4 linked regions of the Saccharomyces cerevisiae S288C genome follow. The gene in region 2 interacts genetically with the main gene of each other region. Each region holds a gene or a part of one and is shown on either strand. Other genes may lie near its edges. The genes, in order: FTR1, FET4, HAP3 and COA4.

The links.
Region 1: mutations in FET4 (region 2) and FTR1 together harm fitness more than expected from each alone (negative genetic interaction), as found in Saccharomyces cerevisiae (2 studies listed by BioGRID).
Region 3: mutations in FET4 (region 2) and HAP3 together harm fitness more than expected from each alone (negative genetic interaction), as found in Saccharomyces cerevisiae (2 studies listed by BioGRID).
Region 4: mutations in FET4 (region 2) and COA4 together harm fitness more than expected from each alone (negative genetic interaction), as found in Saccharomyces cerevisiae (2 studies listed by BioGRID).

What each region holds. Positions count from the first base shown.
Region 1 is NC_001137.3:459,067-463,614, forward strand, and holds FTR1 (high-affinity iron permease FTR1), read right to left. Parts: upstream 2,675-4,548; coding exon 1,460-2,674; downstream 1-1,459. Other genes in the region: putative ubiquitin-specific protease UBP5, read right to left, coding at 1-1,157; YER145C-A (uncharacterized protein), read right to left, coding at 3,320-3,757; RNA-binding protein LSM5, read left to right, coding at 3,519-3,800; cohesin-loading factor complex subunit SCC4, read right to left, coding at 3,902-4,548. UniProt on the Saccharomyces cerevisiae protein: Permease for high affinity iron uptake.
Region 2 is NC_001145.3:912,354-917,366, forward strand, and holds FET4 (Fet4p), read right to left. Parts: upstream 2,186-5,013; coding exon 527-2,185; downstream 1-526. Other genes in the region: YMR320W (uncharacterized protein), read left to right, coding at 4,393-4,698. UniProt on the Saccharomyces cerevisiae protein: Required for Fe(2+) ion low affinity uptake.
Region 3 is NC_001134.8:181,160-185,001, forward strand, and holds HAP3 (Hap3p), read right to left. Parts: upstream 936-3,842; coding exon 501-935; downstream 1-500. Other genes in the region: ATP-dependent Lon protease PIM1, read right to left, coding at 1-116; RFT1 (glycolipid translocation protein), read left to right, coding at 1,242-2,966; DNA-(apurinic or apyrimidinic site) lyase APN2, read left to right, coding at 3,194-3,842. UniProt on the Saccharomyces cerevisiae protein: Acts a component of the CCAT-binding factor, which is a transcriptional activator and binds to the upstream activation site (UAS2) of the CYC1 gene and other genes involved in mitochondrial electron transport and activates their expression.
Region 4 is NC_001144.5:572,508-576,411, forward strand, and holds COA4 (Coa4p), read right to left. Parts: upstream 1,412-3,904; coding exon 959-1,411; downstream 1-958. Other genes in the region: peptidylprolyl isomerase CPR6, read right to left, coding at 1-704; MSC3 (Msc3p), read left to right, coding at 1,644-3,830. UniProt on the Saccharomyces cerevisiae protein: Involved in cytochrome c oxidase assembly or stability.

The sequences.
Region 1 (4,548 bases), on a different chromosome or scaffold from region 2:
TTTTGAATGGTCGAGGGTGTATTGAGTTTTGAGAGAGTGGTTGGTGGATGTGGACTAAATTTTTGAACGGTGGGAGAATTTCTGTTGGGGCTTGGTTGCGGTATAATGGGCAAATCTGAATAGTATAAGGGTAATTGAGGCCTTTGCACCGTTGTTAGCAAAGGCTGCGTATTCATGGATACCATCGGCATACTCTTATCTTTATTTGGAGATAGAGATTTCTGATTGAACAAGCCTGTTGGGACTTGCGGACTACCAAAAGCTGGCGTTGAAGACGAGGATGTAAGATGCGCTGTTTCACTGACAGATGATTGATACGCCCCACCTAATTTAACCCAGTTTGAGAACCCATTTTCCAAAATGAGTATTTTCGTCCCACTCAGCGGTTTAATTACTGAATTTTGGGAAAGAATCTTCGCAAGGATGCGAGTTTGCCTTTGCTGGAAATTATTATGCAATTGAGTGTCAGTATATAAAATAATGAACTTGAACTTGTCTCGATTTGAAAAGAAAGTGATATCTGAGTGCGGCGAAGTGATCAAAGAGACACTTTCAATTTGTTGGTCTGTAAAAGAATCCTTAAATGAGGCAGGATCGATGCATATAATGTTTTTGCATTTGATATGGGCCCTAACGAATTCAGACCTGGGCCGTACATCGATAAGCAAGAGAGCGTCACCATGAAAATGCAACATTGAACTTAATTTTCCAGGCTCTATAGTTTGCAACTGTATAAATTTAGGGTAATTTTCAATGACATTTCGAATCCGCTCAATATTTGGGTCATTATGCAAAAGCTGGATTCTCTCCCCGTACAAATTTCTAACATTCTGGTCCTTGTTGCTCGAAAATTCCTTTAGTCTTGGTAGAGTATCCTCCAAGAGCGTATATACGATCATGTAATATAAAAAAGCTGTTTCATTCAATCGGAGAAACCCCTTTGACAACCGGTTTGCATCTTCTTTAGGGGCCTGCATGGTTATATCCTGGCATGCGTCCACATAACTAGACCATATTTCTGCGCATTCTTGGAGCAAAGGCAGACACTCTTGTGGCACGTCGTCATCATCAAGAAACTTCTGAACTAAATGCCTAAGCCTGCCGAACCGCTCTTTAGCAGATTCGACAACCTCACTTAAGGCTTGTTCTGAGCCCATTACGCTTGTGCCTATTTGTGTAGAGAGATAATAAAGAAAGGACTCCACATACGTTGGAGAATACCTAGCAACTAAATATAGCTGGTGTTTACTTGATGTGTTGAAGTGAGGCGCAAGGAAAAAAGAAAAAAAATCAATGCCCGGTAGATCAATTGGACCAGGGGTTCTTGTTTTGCGACGCCGTACAGACAAGGCCAACTTTATAAAAACGATATTAGAAATTATTGTATATATGTATATAAATGTAGTATTTTTATCAACAGAAAATAGGTGGAAAACTCCCACCCTGTGCTAGACTTCATTCAAAGAGAGTCGGCTTTAACGTGGAGGACTTCCTTGTCTGTGGCGACGTTTTGAGACGAGGAATGACTGGTAGTTTGCTCGGGAAGTTCGTAGTTCTCTTGCACATTGATCTCACCATCTTCATTGAAGTTGATGTTCTCCATCTTGGCAAACAGTTGTCTCTTTTGCTCTTCCGTCAACTCCTGCTTTTTCTTGTTCTTGATCCAGTATCCTGGGTTCAAGTGTTTCAATTGTAAGTTTTTGGTGAAAGGCAAGTGACCACGCCTTTCTTCGAATATCATTAAACTCAACACAATGATAAGAACCAACCAATAGATGTTGTAACAAAGCATGGATGACAAGTAGCCGGTGTTCTGCCATCCAAGCAAAGCATTGAAGATATCCCACCCATTGTCCAGTTCTGGGTTGCAACAATTGACATGGTAAACGGCCTTTCTGATGTTATAAGACCCATTACCATCACCGCCTTCGGAAGCATCACCACCACTGGCAAGGTTGAATCTGTAATTTTCAAAGTACCACGCACCACGAGAGAAAAGACCGGCGGAGATCAGGTACAAGATCGAAGTAGACAAAATCAAGAAAATCTGCAGCGAGGATTTCGAAGCACCATAGTACAACAAATACCCAACAAGACCACCACATATCAAACCAACCACAACGGGCAATGGGTAAGCAGAGGCGTGCGAGCCCTGTGTGGTAATACCTGCACCGGCAACGAACACAACAGCTTCCAAACCTTCTCTCAAGACAGTAATAAACGGCAAAAGGAACATAGCATATCTTCTACTCAAGAACCCAATCTTGAAATAGTCTCTCTTACGGTGAGGAATCTCCACCAACGACCGCGCAATCTTCACTCTCCACTTACTCTGCATCTTATTCATTCTCAACATAGGAATACCCATCATCGAGATCATTATCGTCGCAATCATACAAAAGATACCTTCCCACAAGTCTTCCGCGCTTCCGAAAATATCCTTCTGCAGCGAATAGTACGCACCGATGAAACCTGCACCGATGGCCAGACAAATGATGAACCCGAGTAACACACCGACCCAAACCTGAATCCTTAATTTACGGTACAGCGCCCGGTCATGTTCCCCGATTGCCTGTTTCAAAAACGATAGCAGCACGGAAATAACAATCACTGCTTCCAAGCACTCTCTGAACACAACGAAGAAAACGGCCACGTTAAACACTTTGTTAGGCATGGCGGGAAGTATATGTGTGATGACCTGCTGAGAGAAGATTTCGACAACGTACAATCCGTCGTGTTATGTATTTTTTTGCTCACATTGAGCATTTTATATAACTAAAAGCTCAAGGTCGAACTACAGCCCATCGCTTCCACCGGGCCTTGCAACACCAACTTAGAAATCGGGTGCATTCATCTACGCTGTGCAGAGAATGAAATGCGCACCTTCTTACTGCTGCGACGGTGCTCGGCACGGCTTACGCGGGCGGGGGAAGGAAATAGCGGCCTGGCGTGAGTCGGCAGTCAGCGGCGGGCTCACTGTACTCGCTCGTTTAATGCACCAGCAGTATTCGCGCACTTAATAATAGTATTTCTGCACCCTGGCCTGGAAAGAATGCTCGATGCGCCCTGGTTGATTGGCGCAGAGCGTGTGTCAGTGCCGGACCCGATTTCTTTTTTTCTACACGTTGGTCTGATGTCTCAGGAGTTAGTAGTGACCGTGGTCAAGAAAAAAACAGGACGAAAAATTGTTGAGAACGTATACGTATATTGTATTCTTCTTTTTTTTCTTTGCTGCCCTTTTATTATCTATTTCATTTTTTAACCAGAGGCAATCGTAAGAGAGAGATAATATAGCCCTTTTTGGTCTTTTTTGGCACCTTCAGCCGGACCCTGCTCTTTTATTACCCGGATGCTCGGGTTTTGTCTTTGCATCCGGGTAGCAAAACAGAATACTTGCTTTCTTATTGAAGTAGAAAAAATACAGAGAAAGCGAAAAAGGCTTCCTTGGCGGATAGATGGTCTCACAACAAGCATAGCGTATACACGTGCACTCACAAGCATACACAGAAGCGCGCAAAATGAGTCTACCGGAGATTTTGCCTTTGGAAGTCATAGATAAAACAATTAACCAGAAAGTGTTGATTGTGCTGCAGTCGAACCGCGAGTTCGAGGGCACGTTAGTTGGTTTCGACGACTTCGTCAACGTTATACTGGAAGACGCTGTCGAGTGGCTTATCGATCCTGAGGACGAGAGCAGAAATGAGAAAGTTATGCAGCACCATGGCAGAATGCTTTTAAGCGGCAACAATATTGCCATCCTTGTGCCAGGCGGCAAAAAGACCCCTACGGAGGCGTTGTAAAAAGGCAAAAATTAACGCGAATTTGTATAGTGCATCTAAAAAAAATAATTAAGTATAAAAATAGATAAAGGAAATCAAGTGTTTCTTTTTTTTTTTTTGGTTTATTGTTTGACACTGGTGATTTGCTTAACCAGCGCCTCCAGCTTCGCGTTCGTGAGAGCGACGTCTTTTCCCCGCATCGCCACCGTACAATTCATTAAATGCCATATTCCGATCACGTATTGGACCTTGCGCATGCCGCCCTGCTGGCGGCACATATCGAAACACTTTGCTGAAATCGCATAGATCTCGCCCAGATCGTGTTCGAGCATTCGACCGCCTAAGTAGTTTACCAGTATTTGCAGCAACAGAGCCTTCTTCAATTTGAAGCGGTTGTCCGCAACGGCTTCTCCGGCAACGAACTTGTTGCTAGAGTAGAACTCGCGGAGCTTCGACACGTACTCGGCGCGCTGCTTGTCACTACATGGCAGCGGGTTCCAACTGAACGGCTCGAAATGGCTGAAAAGCCATAGGATCGTTACTGTGCACTCCCATATGGGGTTGAACTGCAGATCCGTTTCTTGTAGCAATTTCTCCACCTGAAGCCACACCTTGTTGCATTGCTCTACGAGTTCGCCCTGTTTGTCCCCCGAACATCGGCTCACTCTTGCCGCCTGCACTGTGTAGCAATTCAGAAGCGATATCATCTTCACCTCGCTGGATGTACCGCCAGATTGTGCAAGCCGCGTGTACTCTTCTACGGCCCCGC
Region 2 (5,013 bases):
TGTGATCTTCGGTCAAGGACGGACCGGACATATAAGCGGAGCGGGGAATCTTTAGTCAGCAATGGAAGTTCACACAGTAGAGACACAAATTGTGTCACAGTATATCACCCATTTACTGTAAAAAGATAAAAAGACCAGTAAATGTAACGGAAAACCATTCATTTTAACGGAGCCGTGACGAGAGTGGCTGTGATCGGAATTCCACGTCAAGGTCCTGGAAGACGGGGATCGGGGACTAAAAAAGAGCGTCGAAAGTATCCAGTACGTCATTACCAAGTTGAAAATGAAAAAAGATCAATTAGCCACATTTTATCCTGGATTTATTATCTATTATATATCATTTTAAATGGTTTAGGCTCCCAGAGAAAAAAGCAAAACTCAGGTGAGGTATATGTACAAACTAAATAAAAGTTCTAAGGTCGATCGCTACCTCCGTATAGAAATTCCTAAAATCCCTAAGGAAAATTAACTCCCTCATAAGTAACATGAGGAATTCTTCCCACTAATGCTAAAATGTTCAATGAAGCTATTTTTCCAACATCATAACCTCTGGGAAACGCTTTTCTACGTATGATAGAAGTATGCGCCTACGTGCGTACAAAGCGGTAACCTCCACTCTTCTTTGACGATCGGCCCAATTATGTGCTTGCAACAAAACTAGCAAGAAAAATTCTTCGATAATCATAGTTGGCGTGTTAGCAATCAATTGACCTGTTGTACTCCAACGCAAACCGGAAGCAATACAAATTAAACCAATGATGATGATGACGGATACAAGAACACTCCATGGAGTTGAGCAGATCCTATTAATATATTGGGATGTTCTGTAACCAATAGTGTTAATTTCAGGAGCTTTACCACTAAATTCTTCGGGACATTCAATACCTAATTCTTGGAATAATTCAAGGTCTTCTTTAGCCACATCAGAATAATTTTTCTCTTCATGTTGAACGATTCGGAAGTACACTTCTCTCAAAACGAAACCGTCCAAAAACCCAATTAAACCTGTGTATGTACCGATAATCAACCACCAATTATCATCCCACTTCATTGGCGAACCAATACCAATCCATGTGGCGAACACTGCCACACCAATCAGGACACCAATACCAGTACCAATAATATCAGCATACCAATCAATCATCTTTCTCCCTGTCGACCTTTTTTTAGATTCAATAGTAACAACTGGGTGAGGTGTTTCAAAATCGTTAAAATGCTTTCTTATACGATAGTCGATTTTCTCGTCCATATCAAAGATATCAACTAAAAACCTCCCCGTGAAATAATCATGTCTAGCCCTTATATTTTGTAAGAAAGTAGTGCAAATTAGAAGGGAAACTGCAACTGCAGTGTTAATATACATCTGCCAAGCGTCACTGAACTTTTTCAATCTTGGATTACTACCTGTAGTTTCTCCGGTGTAAGGTGGAGTGTTGCCCGCATCTTTTGGGATAGCACCGCAACCAATCCAAACGAAAATACCTATCCAAAATATCACCATTGCTGCAATTGAACCCATATACCTACTTGCTACGTTAGATAAACGGTCGTACCAATTTTCCACAGGCAGTTCTCCGTTAATGGCAGATGGGTCTATATGATTTTCAACAGAGCTGACTTCATTAGCTTCAACTGTGCAGTCTGCTTTTTCTTCCTCTGGGGTGCTTCTTGTTAGATAGTTTTTGAAGGAAGCCAATCTCGACTTCAATCTACCGCAGATCAAAATTTGTTCATGCGTACTCATCAACTGTTGTCTCATCAACAGTGTGTCCCAAACATAACTTTGAATAGACTGTCCGTCCTGCATAACAACTTGCCAATTGAAAGGTGCGTTATAAACAATACCAATAACCACCCAAATTATGAGGATGATCCAAACAATAAAAAAAACCGCCTGCGAACCGGCCACTCGTACCAGGAAATCCAGGGTCTTATCTGTGAAACCTTTGCTTAACCCGGTAAAACCTTTACTCGTGAAGATTGCCCCTGTTTCTGTTAAATTCACATTACAAAGTTCGTCATCAGTACTCTCATCGCTATGGCTGACTACTCTGACCACATCATCATTTTTGTAATCGTTAGAATCACCGAATTCTTCGTACTGTTTGCAGTCAACAGTAGGTGCTCTATGATGAACGTCAGGCCTAGCACCTGGATTCCCGAGAAACTCTGCAATTTTACCCATAATTTGATTAACGAATGTTTAATAATAAGGGTCTTATTAGGTTTCTATATCTACCTTTTCCCTTCTTATATCTGATACTGTTTGACTTATGATAAAAGAAACTTACTTACCTATCAATTAATTCATGCCGTGTGAAGTATATTTATATAAACAAGTATTTCTAAATGAAGAGCATCGAATCAAGATGTGGTAGATGCTAAACTAATGGGTGCAATTAAGAAGGCTTCTACCAAGCAAGTTCAAGGCCAGTAGCATTATATAGTTTTTTTGTCTTTATTTTTTTTTTTGGTTTTTTTTTTTTTCGTTTGAGAAAAATGCTGCTTCCTAAAAAGACTCAGCAAAAATGCTCATGACCTAATCAGTTTCGAGAGCAACCCCACGGGTAGGAAAGAAAGAGGCGCCAACGTTAAAGGAAACTGCCCATATCTAATACATAACCGCACAAGCTCCAAGCTCATTCAACACCTGTGTGATTTACGCCCCAATAAGGCTCAAGATTCCTCAATATTTTGTCGTTGTTCGAGCCATGAAAACCTCAAATTACTGCTACAGGACCCTAGGGTCTCGCTAAAAAAATGACTACGCGCGCTTATATAATTACTCGAATAAGACAAAAGAAAAAAACCCTTGCGATATGTCGTAGACACGTAAAAATGGCCCATTTAGTGGTAGTCGCAAACTAGAGGGGTAAAAATAACCTGTCCAGTACTGAAAGTAATGCTAGGGAAATGCGAATGACCGTACGTACACCTTCGTACATGCAGGTATTTAGGGGGCTTATTGTTTATGAACAATAGCACTATGCCAGGTCAAACATATCATGTTCGCGCAGTCTCCTCGTGGGATATATAAAGTGAACAAAAAGTGCACCCGGTTTTCGGAACAACGCTCTTCGCAACAAGGCAAAAAAGAAAAATGGGACAACGTAATCGGAGAATACCCAAAGGACATTATAATCCAATCAACGTAGTAGTACGTATGGTTAGAACAGCAAGCACAGATATTTGCTCATATGCAAGGAAACTGGTGTGATTAGAATGCCTTAAACATGAGTCCAATGTATGCGAATAAGATGCTACGTTGAATAAGCAGATCAAAGAACTTTTGGTAGGAAAAGCTTCTTTTTTTAAAAGCGCACGTTTCTTTTTCTTTGTTGGACCTTCCATCAAAATCCTTAATACGTGCAGCGAAGCAGCAACGCATTGACAGTTCATACAGGAAAGAGGAACAAATATTTTGAGCTGCTTGTCCCAGGAATCTAGGTGCTTACGTATCTTTTATTTTATTTAAATGTATGATCTTACCCACGATAATGGTCTTAGTACTTTAGTTTGGCAATGATGGAACCGGAGGACAACGGACAAAAGTTAGGGTATCTTTACTCTGTCACTGCGTATTTTTTGAAATACACTATTTTTACAAGGAGTTAAGCATAACAAGCACGTGCTGCAGATGTTTTCATTTAGTGAGTGAAGATCTTTATTCAAGTAATTCATCTTCATCCGTATAACTTCTTAGTAAAGCGACAAGGTCTGATGGCCGAATTTTTTTAATTTTGGCCATCGTATTAAAATGAACACTCTAAAGCCGAAATGAGAAAGATCTCGCTAATAGTAGGTTAGGACTCAATGGCTAGGTTATATTTTTGCCTTCGTGAGAGTAATTTACGTCGAGTAATGTCGCCTGACATCCATATCCCTTTGTTATTCTTCATTAAATGTCACTACAAATTCTGTCCTTACTGAAGTAAAGAATATTTGAAAATACTACACTGATCTTTAATTACTGATCTACAATAACACACAGTGTTGAAGGATAATTCCAAGACTCTCACCTGCGACTGGTCGTGTTAGGAAACCAAACTGAAATATGCTAAATTTCGAGTGAAACCTACCGGAATCGGTACATCTCCAGAGGATTTTAAGTGAAGATTTAACATCGTATAACAAGCATGCATAACTTGTCACTGGGATAAAGAGAAGGTACTAAATTTTCGTAGGCGACAATTTTCCATCTCATAGAGTACTCGAAGAAAAACATAAACACTATTAAAAATAGCTCCTAGTAAAGGCTTTTTGGATTCTAATTCAAGTTTACAAATACCTACCAACAACATTCTTGATATTGTAATCTGCTCTGAAGTAGATACCCTAACGGGATTGTTAAGTCAGGGAGCAGCGTAACGACATTCACGAAAAGCTCTAAAAATGCGTAGATTTGGAAAGCCATGTATTGTTTCACATGAAATTTCGGCCAGGCCTCACATATTACAGCCTTGTAATTATAAGATGGTGCTGAGTTGTAAGGTAAAAAAACCCATTGAGTTATTGCACCTTCAAGAGTTAATACTTTACACTTTTATGAAAATTTGCCTTCACGTAAACTTGATCCAGCAAAACATCAATAAGTTGTCATATATTTCTCGAAAATATCCAAGGGCACCTGCTTTTATCAGCTGCGACAATAGAGCCACGGAGCCAACAAAAAAAGGCTTTTTAGTTTGCCGCATGTAATGATTGGCGAATAATTTTTCAAGGTTATGATTGTTCTTGGGAACACAGATCACGGAATCCTTTTGCCAATAATACATTAGATGGAATATTTGGATACAACTTTCGAATATAACGCCTTTTGAGCTAGCAATATCGACTGTATGGGAATATAAAAGTTAATTTTAGGCAATTTAATTAATCGTGACTGGTCGGAGAAGGCGAGATTGTAGCTCCACCATGTGAGGATTATTGGCAAAGGTTTAGATCCGGTGGAGATTTATCTTCTTTTACCCCATCTTACTTGTGCACTCTCCCAAATTCCCATCTGATGAACTG
Region 3 (3,842 bases), on a different chromosome or scaffold from region 2:
GATGCGAACCTTCTTTGAGAAACTGCAGCAGTCTTAGCGATAGATCGGTAATATTGGATAGCTCTTGTGGTCCTCGCCACTGTGCTAAGGGTCTTTGTGGTTCTTGTTCTTAGCATGCTCTATTTGCAAATCTTTTCGTTCAAGCACCTCGAAAACCAAAAGAAAAAACAACTAAACTTTGAAACAGCTGCAAATGCACACTGTATTATCAGGTTTTAGGTGTCCTAGTAACCGTATCAGCTTGTCGTTGCTGCAATACCAATGCAAAAGCATGGCTAAAAGACTTCGTCTGACTTATTTCCTTCCGGTGGCAAACATCATACACCCTTTACAAAGCACCCATACATTACATTGAATACATTACACACTAACAATAAAATATTATCTATATCGTTACATTCATTAATTACACGAGAACCAACGACCAGCAGGAAATAGCCCCGTGCTATTCCATCCTGACAGCTAGCAACTTTTGCGATCTACCACCTGGTTTTGTCTTCTCAAGGCACCTCTTCGTCGTCCTGCTCATACATTAGTTGATTCTTCAGCGCCTGTTGTTGCCTGTATTTAGCCAAGTAGATTTTCAACACCTCTGCATAGTTCTCGAATCCTAAGGCGTGCAATGATATGAGAATGTCTTCCCCGTTTATCGTCTTTCTTTTGTCAGCAGCGCATCGATCGCTGGCCTCGCTAGTCACAAAAGAAATGAGCTCACTGACACACTCCTGCATGCACTCTTTCGCATCTTTCGATACCTTAGCACTCGGTGGGAGAGTATTCTTCATGAGTCGCGCTACATTGTTGATGGGTAGCCATCTGTCCTGCTCTCTTAGCGTGGAAATTTGCTGCAAACTGCCGCTGGAGCTAGCGTTTCCACCGTTCTCCTGAGTATCCTCTGGGCTTGTGCTAACATGTTCGGACTCGTTGGTATTCATATTCTCGAGAGGTTTGTGCCACTTGTGTTACTATCTAGCTTAGTCCTGCTCTTGAGTTTGATTGGCGGAAAGCTACTATTCGCAGCTCTTTTTTTACTTAGTCTGAAAGAGCGGACCAAAAAACGCACGTAGCGCGATATTGTCGTGGCATCGAACGTAATATGGTACTTCTATTGTGCTATATTTTGGCAGAAGGTTTGCAGTAATCGCAGCCTGGAGAAGACAATGCGTATTAGTAGCAGTAAAGGGCCACAGATAGGGTGATTTGAAGTTGATTCTGCTTTTGTCAGTGAAGGAAAAGAAAAAATGGCGAAAAAAAACTCACAATTGCCCTCTACTAGTGAGCAGATCTTGGAAAGGTCCACAACAGGAGCTACCTTCCTCATGATGGGCCAACTTTTCACCAAACTGGTAACGTTCATACTAAATAATTTGTTGATCAGGTTTCTGTCGCCCAGAATTTTCGGTATCACGGCCTTTCTAGAATTTATACAGGGCACAGTGTTATTTTTTAGCAGAGATGCGATTCGTCTGTCGACGTTGAGAATCTCAGACTCCGGTAATGGAATAATCGATGATGACGACGAGGAGGAGTACCAGGAAACTCATTACAAGTCTAAAGTTTTGCAAACCGCAGTCAATTTTGCTTACATTCCGTTTTGGATCGGGTTTCCACTGTCCATTGGTCTTATCGCCTGGCAGTACAGAAACATCAACGCGTATTTCATCACTCTTCCATTCTTCAGGTGGTCGATTTTTCTTATCTGGCTGAGTATCATCGTGGAGCTGTTAAGCGAGCCATTCTTCATCGTCAACCAGTTTATGTTGAACTATGCCGCAAGGTCAAGATTTGAAAGCATCGCGGTGACTACAGGATGTATTGTCAATTTTATAGTTGTTTATGCCGTTCAGCAATCCCGCTACCCAATGGGGGTTGTCACATCGGACATTGACAAAGAAGGCATCGCCATATTGGCATTTGCCTTGGGAAAGTTAGCACATTCGATCACCCTGCTAGCATGTTACTACTGGGACTATCTCAAGAATTTCAAACCAAAGAAATTGTTCAGTACCAGGCTAACGAAGATAAAAACGCGTGAAAATAACGAATTGAAGAAAGGCTACCCAAAGAGCACATCTTATTTTTTCCAAAACGACATTTTACAGCACTTCAAAAAAGTTTATTTTCAACTATGTTTTAAGCATTTGTTGACAGAGGGTGATAAGTTGATTATCAATTCTTTATGTACTGTGGAAGAACAAGGCATTTACGCTCTATTGTCGAACTATGGATCGCTACTAACAAGATTATTATTTGCGCCGATCGAAGAATCTCTGCGGTTATTTTTGGCCCGTTTATTATCCTCGCATAACCCTAAAAATTTAAAACTATCTATTGAAGTCCTGGTGAATTTAACAAGGTTTTACATATACTTATCGTTAATGATCATTGTATTTGGGCCTGCCAATTCATCCTTTTTATTGCAGTTCTTGATTGGCTCGAAATGGTCCACTACTTCCGTTTTGGACACTATAAGAGTCTACTGCTTTTACATCCCATTTTTATCGCTTAATGGTATTTTTGAAGCTTTTTTCCAGAGTGTAGCCACTGGTGACCAAATTTTGAAACATTCATATTTTATGATGGCCTTTTCTGGTATTTTCCTGCTCAATTCCTGGCTTCTTATTGAAAAACTCAAACTATCAATCGAAGGCTTGATATTGAGTAACATCATTAACATGGTGTTGAGAATATTGTATTGTGGAGTTTTCTTGAATAAATTTCATAGGGAACTGTTTACAGATTCCTCTTTTTTCTTCAATTTTAAGGATTTCAAAACAGTTATTATTGCTGGCTCAACGATCTGTCTACTTGACTGGTGGTTTATTGGGTACGTTAAAAATTTACAACAATTTGTTGTTAACGTATTATTCGCAATGGGATTGTTAGCGTTAATTTTGGTCAAGGAGCGCCAAACCATACAATCTTTTATTAACAAGAGGGCGGTTTCCAATTCTAAAGATGTATAAACAAAAATTCTTATATAACTTAGGCGACACATAATATGCGCTTAAATAACATATAGTGAGTATATTATCAAAAAGCATTCATTTTTTTTTATTTATTAGTCCTTCAGAAAGTTAGTTTGTATGTACTATATGATGTGAAAGTGCTGAAAAATTACCCAATAAAAGATAGGCAACCAAGAGAGAAGCTATTTCACCGTAAAGAAAATCCCTTTCCTTGTCAGGACACTATGTCATCAAGCGAAAACACGTTACTGGATGGAAAGTCAGAGAACACAATACGATTTTTAACTTTCAATGTCAATGGTATAAGAACCTTTTTTCATTATCAACCATTTTCTCAAATGAATCAATCCCTTAGATCTGTTTTCGACTTTTTTCGAGCAGACATAATAACATTCCAAGAGCTCAAGACGGAAAAATTGTCTATCTCTAAGTGGGGGAGAGTTGATGGTTTTTATTCTTTTATTTCTATCCCTCAAACCAGAAAGGGATATTCTGGCGTTGGCTGCTGGATTAGAATTCCGGAAAAGAACCACCCACTATACCATGCATTACAAGTCGTTAAGGCAGAAGAAGGTATAACGGGTTACTTGACAATAAAAAATGGTAAGCATTCAGCAATCTCCTATAGAAACGACGTAAATCAAGGAATTGGTGGTTACGATTCTTTAGATCCCGATTTAGATGAGAAAAGTGCACTGGAACTAGATTCAGAAGGCAGATGTGTTATGGTTGAACTGGCATGTGGAATAGTTATTATCAGTGTATATTGTCCCGCAAATTCGAACTCATCGGAGGAGGGTGAGATGTTTAGATTAAGGTTCTTGAAAGTTTTATTAAGAAGAGTTCGGAATTTGGACAAAATTGGGAAGAAGA
Region 4 (3,904 bases), on a different chromosome or scaffold from region 2:
TAGTTCTGTTTCTTGAACTGTTCAGTACCAATGTTCTTTACCGTTTCGATAGCTTTCAAGACGGTGTCGAAATTCTTCAAGTCAACTTTTTCGTCTTGTTTTAAAACATCTTCATAATTATCGCCGTACTCATCTGTTGGTGTAGCTTCGGCATTCTCTGGCACTTGATAATCGTCAGGTAACACGCCACAGTCATCAATCTTTACATCACGCAATGGCTTGTTGTTTTCTTGGTCACATTGTTGGTTTTCAATCAAACGAACAATTCTTTTACCTTGAATCACTTCACCAAACACAACGTGCTTCCCGTCCAAATGAGGTGTAGGAACACAGGTTATGAAAGCTTGAGATCCATTGGTATTTGGACCGGCGTTGGCCATGGATAGAAGGAATGGTTTATCATGTTTAACAGTGAAATTTTCATCCTCGAATTTTTCATCGTATATGCTCTCACCGCCAGTACCATTAAAATTGGTAAAATCACCAAATTGACACATGAAGTCTTTGATCACTCTGTGGAAAATGGAACCCTTGTACGACAATGGTACATCAGGTTTAGTCTTTGCCATACCAGCATTTCCTTCACACAACTTCAAAAAATTTTCAGCCGTTTTAGGCACTATGTCATTGTACAACTCAAAAACTATACGGCCTTGGGGTTTACCTCCAATAGAAATATCAAAAAAAGTTTTAGGTCTAGTCATTTTTACTCCTTGATCGCCTGAATATTGTCTTACCAGTTTTCTATGTGATGTGAGCGCATCAGCACCTCTGATATTCGACTTATTTAAATAATTTTCTGTCTGAACTTTCTCCAGCTAGGGCGGAAAAATATTCTAGAAGCTCATAGAAATGCCGTTCAAAAGCGTAACAGTTATGTTCTATAAAGGGAAACAATGTGTTTCGATCACTGCAGCTGTCTATTATATACAAGTTATACATCACGACATTTAGATTTTCATTTCTTCTTTTCCGAATCCTTACTGGTCGTCCCATCCACGTCCACTGTGCTTACGCGCTCTCTATTACCATTCTTTTCCCAACACTTCCTAAATAACGCCATCTCGTTGAAGCACTGCCTCCAGTCACCTGTTTCGGCATGGCACAGCTGTAATGCGAGGTTCTCTACGTAGCATCCGGTCTTGGATATTCTCGTGTCCCACACATCCGGGTCTTCGTCTTCTTGGACCTCTTTGTATTCTTCCAGCGCCTGCTTATAATACTCTGAAGTTTCGCCAGTTTCACTCATGACCAGTCTGCCAGTTTTAGCCTGCCAGAGCTTTTCTTTCCCTTTAATCTTCCCTTGTTTGGCGCAACTCTTAGAAGTGCCTTTCACTACCTTTAATGGCTGAGGCCCCTTTTTTTGTTTCGGACATTTGTTGTGAGAAAAAAAAGAAGAAAATAAAAGCATAAATGAAGCGAATGGATGAGAAGAGGGGAGGGAAAGCAAGAACGAGAAGGACAAACATCAGGGACCCATACTTCAATAAATTGCTTGATTTGGTGTTAATCAATTCTTCTAACATCAAACCTCTTTTAGTTTCCTTCGATCGTTTCACGTTGCTTATATTGATTGCTTTTTACTTCTATTTTTTCACTAGAATAAACAAACAAAGACATTCTGTTGATCAAGAAAGTTGAAAATGGTATTTGGTTTTACAAAGAGGGACAGGAGGGTACCTGATTTATCTAGGTATGATTACTACTATCAGAACCATGAAGATTATAACAAAAGTCCTCAGCTCTCTGCTGCTGCTGCCTCTGCTGCTTCTGCCGCATCACCGGATCGAACCAATTACTCAAGGTCGCACTCGCTGGTTAGTCATGCACCTTCAATACCGAGACAAAGAAGTTCGGTAAAGAGCCCAGGAAGAAGGCTTTCCACATCCTCTGCCGCTCCGCCAACGTCCAGGGCAGCAGCTAAGCAGTATTCACAGAAGACTTACTCGTTGAGGTCGCAAAGGAGCGGAGAGTACCATTTACACCCGCCCGGTTATACTACTAATGGGAGCCGTATGAATTCTATGACGTCTGGTGCGAATGTCAGAAGAAACTACGGTAAGAACAAATCGACGGCCGGCAACAATAACGATTCAAGGGCCAACTCCATTACCGTAAAGACTACACAAGTAACAGACCCTTCAGGAAGGACTCAATCAATTACCAAAAAGACAATAAGAAAAATAAATGGGTATGAATACGTAGAAACCACGACTACGACTAAGAATTTGGTTCCATTAGGTGACTCGCAGCGTCATTTCGATGAATTTAGTGAAAATTACATGTTGCAAGATGACGACATTTTAGAGGAACAAGCTAGTGATAACATTCACGATATAATCGAGGAAAACGAAACAGATAACGAAAAGCCATATTCCCCAGTAAGCGAAAGTCATTTACAAGATGATTCAGAGCTAAACGTGGAAAAACCAGATTTCCCACTTGGATCATATTTCCACCATAAGTATTCTACAGACGTTATGCCTCTAGAAGAAGAAAGTAGTTTATCAAACTTCAGTGACGCATTAGATTATATTCCTCCCACCCATCAGACCAGTAGTAAATATATTCATAATAAAAGGAAGCAAGCATCGACGACAAGAAGGAAGAAAAGACCGCCTGCCGTGAAAAACGCAGAAGCAGAGGCCAAGAAACCATTAACCGAAGCAGAAATGTATCTGAAGGCACTAGAGGTTGCTAAAAGAAACGTTTATCACACGGATGCTGCTTCGGATAACGCATCGGCCCCCCTCGGGAGTAACAAATCCAGGAAAAGTAGGATGGGTCAAAAAATGACCTTGAGAAGCAGTAGTGATTCTCCGACGGCGACTGCTAATCTTGTCAAATCTAATGTCGAGGTTCAACCAAAAAGATTTACAAGTTCCTTCTTCAGCAGAAATACTAAAAGCGCCCCCCATGAAGTGCACAATCACTCTGTGTCTACACATTTTAAATCGAATAAGGCTGTTGACCCAGTTCCAGAGCCTAAAAGTGCAAACACAGGGCTAACAGATAAAGAAATGTATGACCAAGCTTTGAAAATCGCACAAGCGAGGTATTACAACTCACATGGTATTCAACCTGAAGCAGTCGATAATAGCACTACGGCGGCTAAACCTCGTCAGGTCGGCGTTAGCCATCTGGGATCCACTGGGAGCATCCCGCCCAATGAGCAGCACTATTTAGGGGATTCTGAAATTCCAGTCCAAAGCGAAGTGCATGAATACGAGCCCATTCCATTGCAGAAGACAAAAACAACTGGTTCTTCCAAAAATAAGTTCAAAACCATGTTCGATAAAGTGCTGCAATTCTCTCAAGAAAACTACGGCTACCAGCACAAGAAGGAACAAGGCGAACAAACTCCAGTTACTCGTAATGCTGAAGAAAGCTTCCCAGCAGCGTCTATTTCGGAAGGTGTGACAACCGCAAAGCCATCTTCAAACGAAGGTGTGATGACGAATCCAGTAGTTACAGATTCACCTTCACCCCTTCAACAACAAATAGACTCGACTACTGCGTCCTCGAATGGGCAAAGTCAGGGCAATGTACCTACCTCCGCAGTAGCTTCAACAACGAGAACAAGATCACCGGAACTGCAGGATAATCTAAAGTCTTCTTCTTCGCTTTTACAGGACCAAACCCCTCAGCGTCAGGAAGACGCCACGGATCCAACAACATCATCGACGAATGAATTATCTGCCGCTGAGCCAACAATGGTCACTTCGACACATGCCACTAAGACAATACAGGCTCAAACACAAGATCCTCCCACGAAGCACAAGAAGTCCAGTTTCTTCACTAAACTGTTCAAGAAAAAAAGCAGCCGTTAGCAGTTGTTTACTCGAATTTTGCAATCAACCCTAATTTTTGAAGCCTGGTTTTAGATTTATTCTCTTCTTTTTCT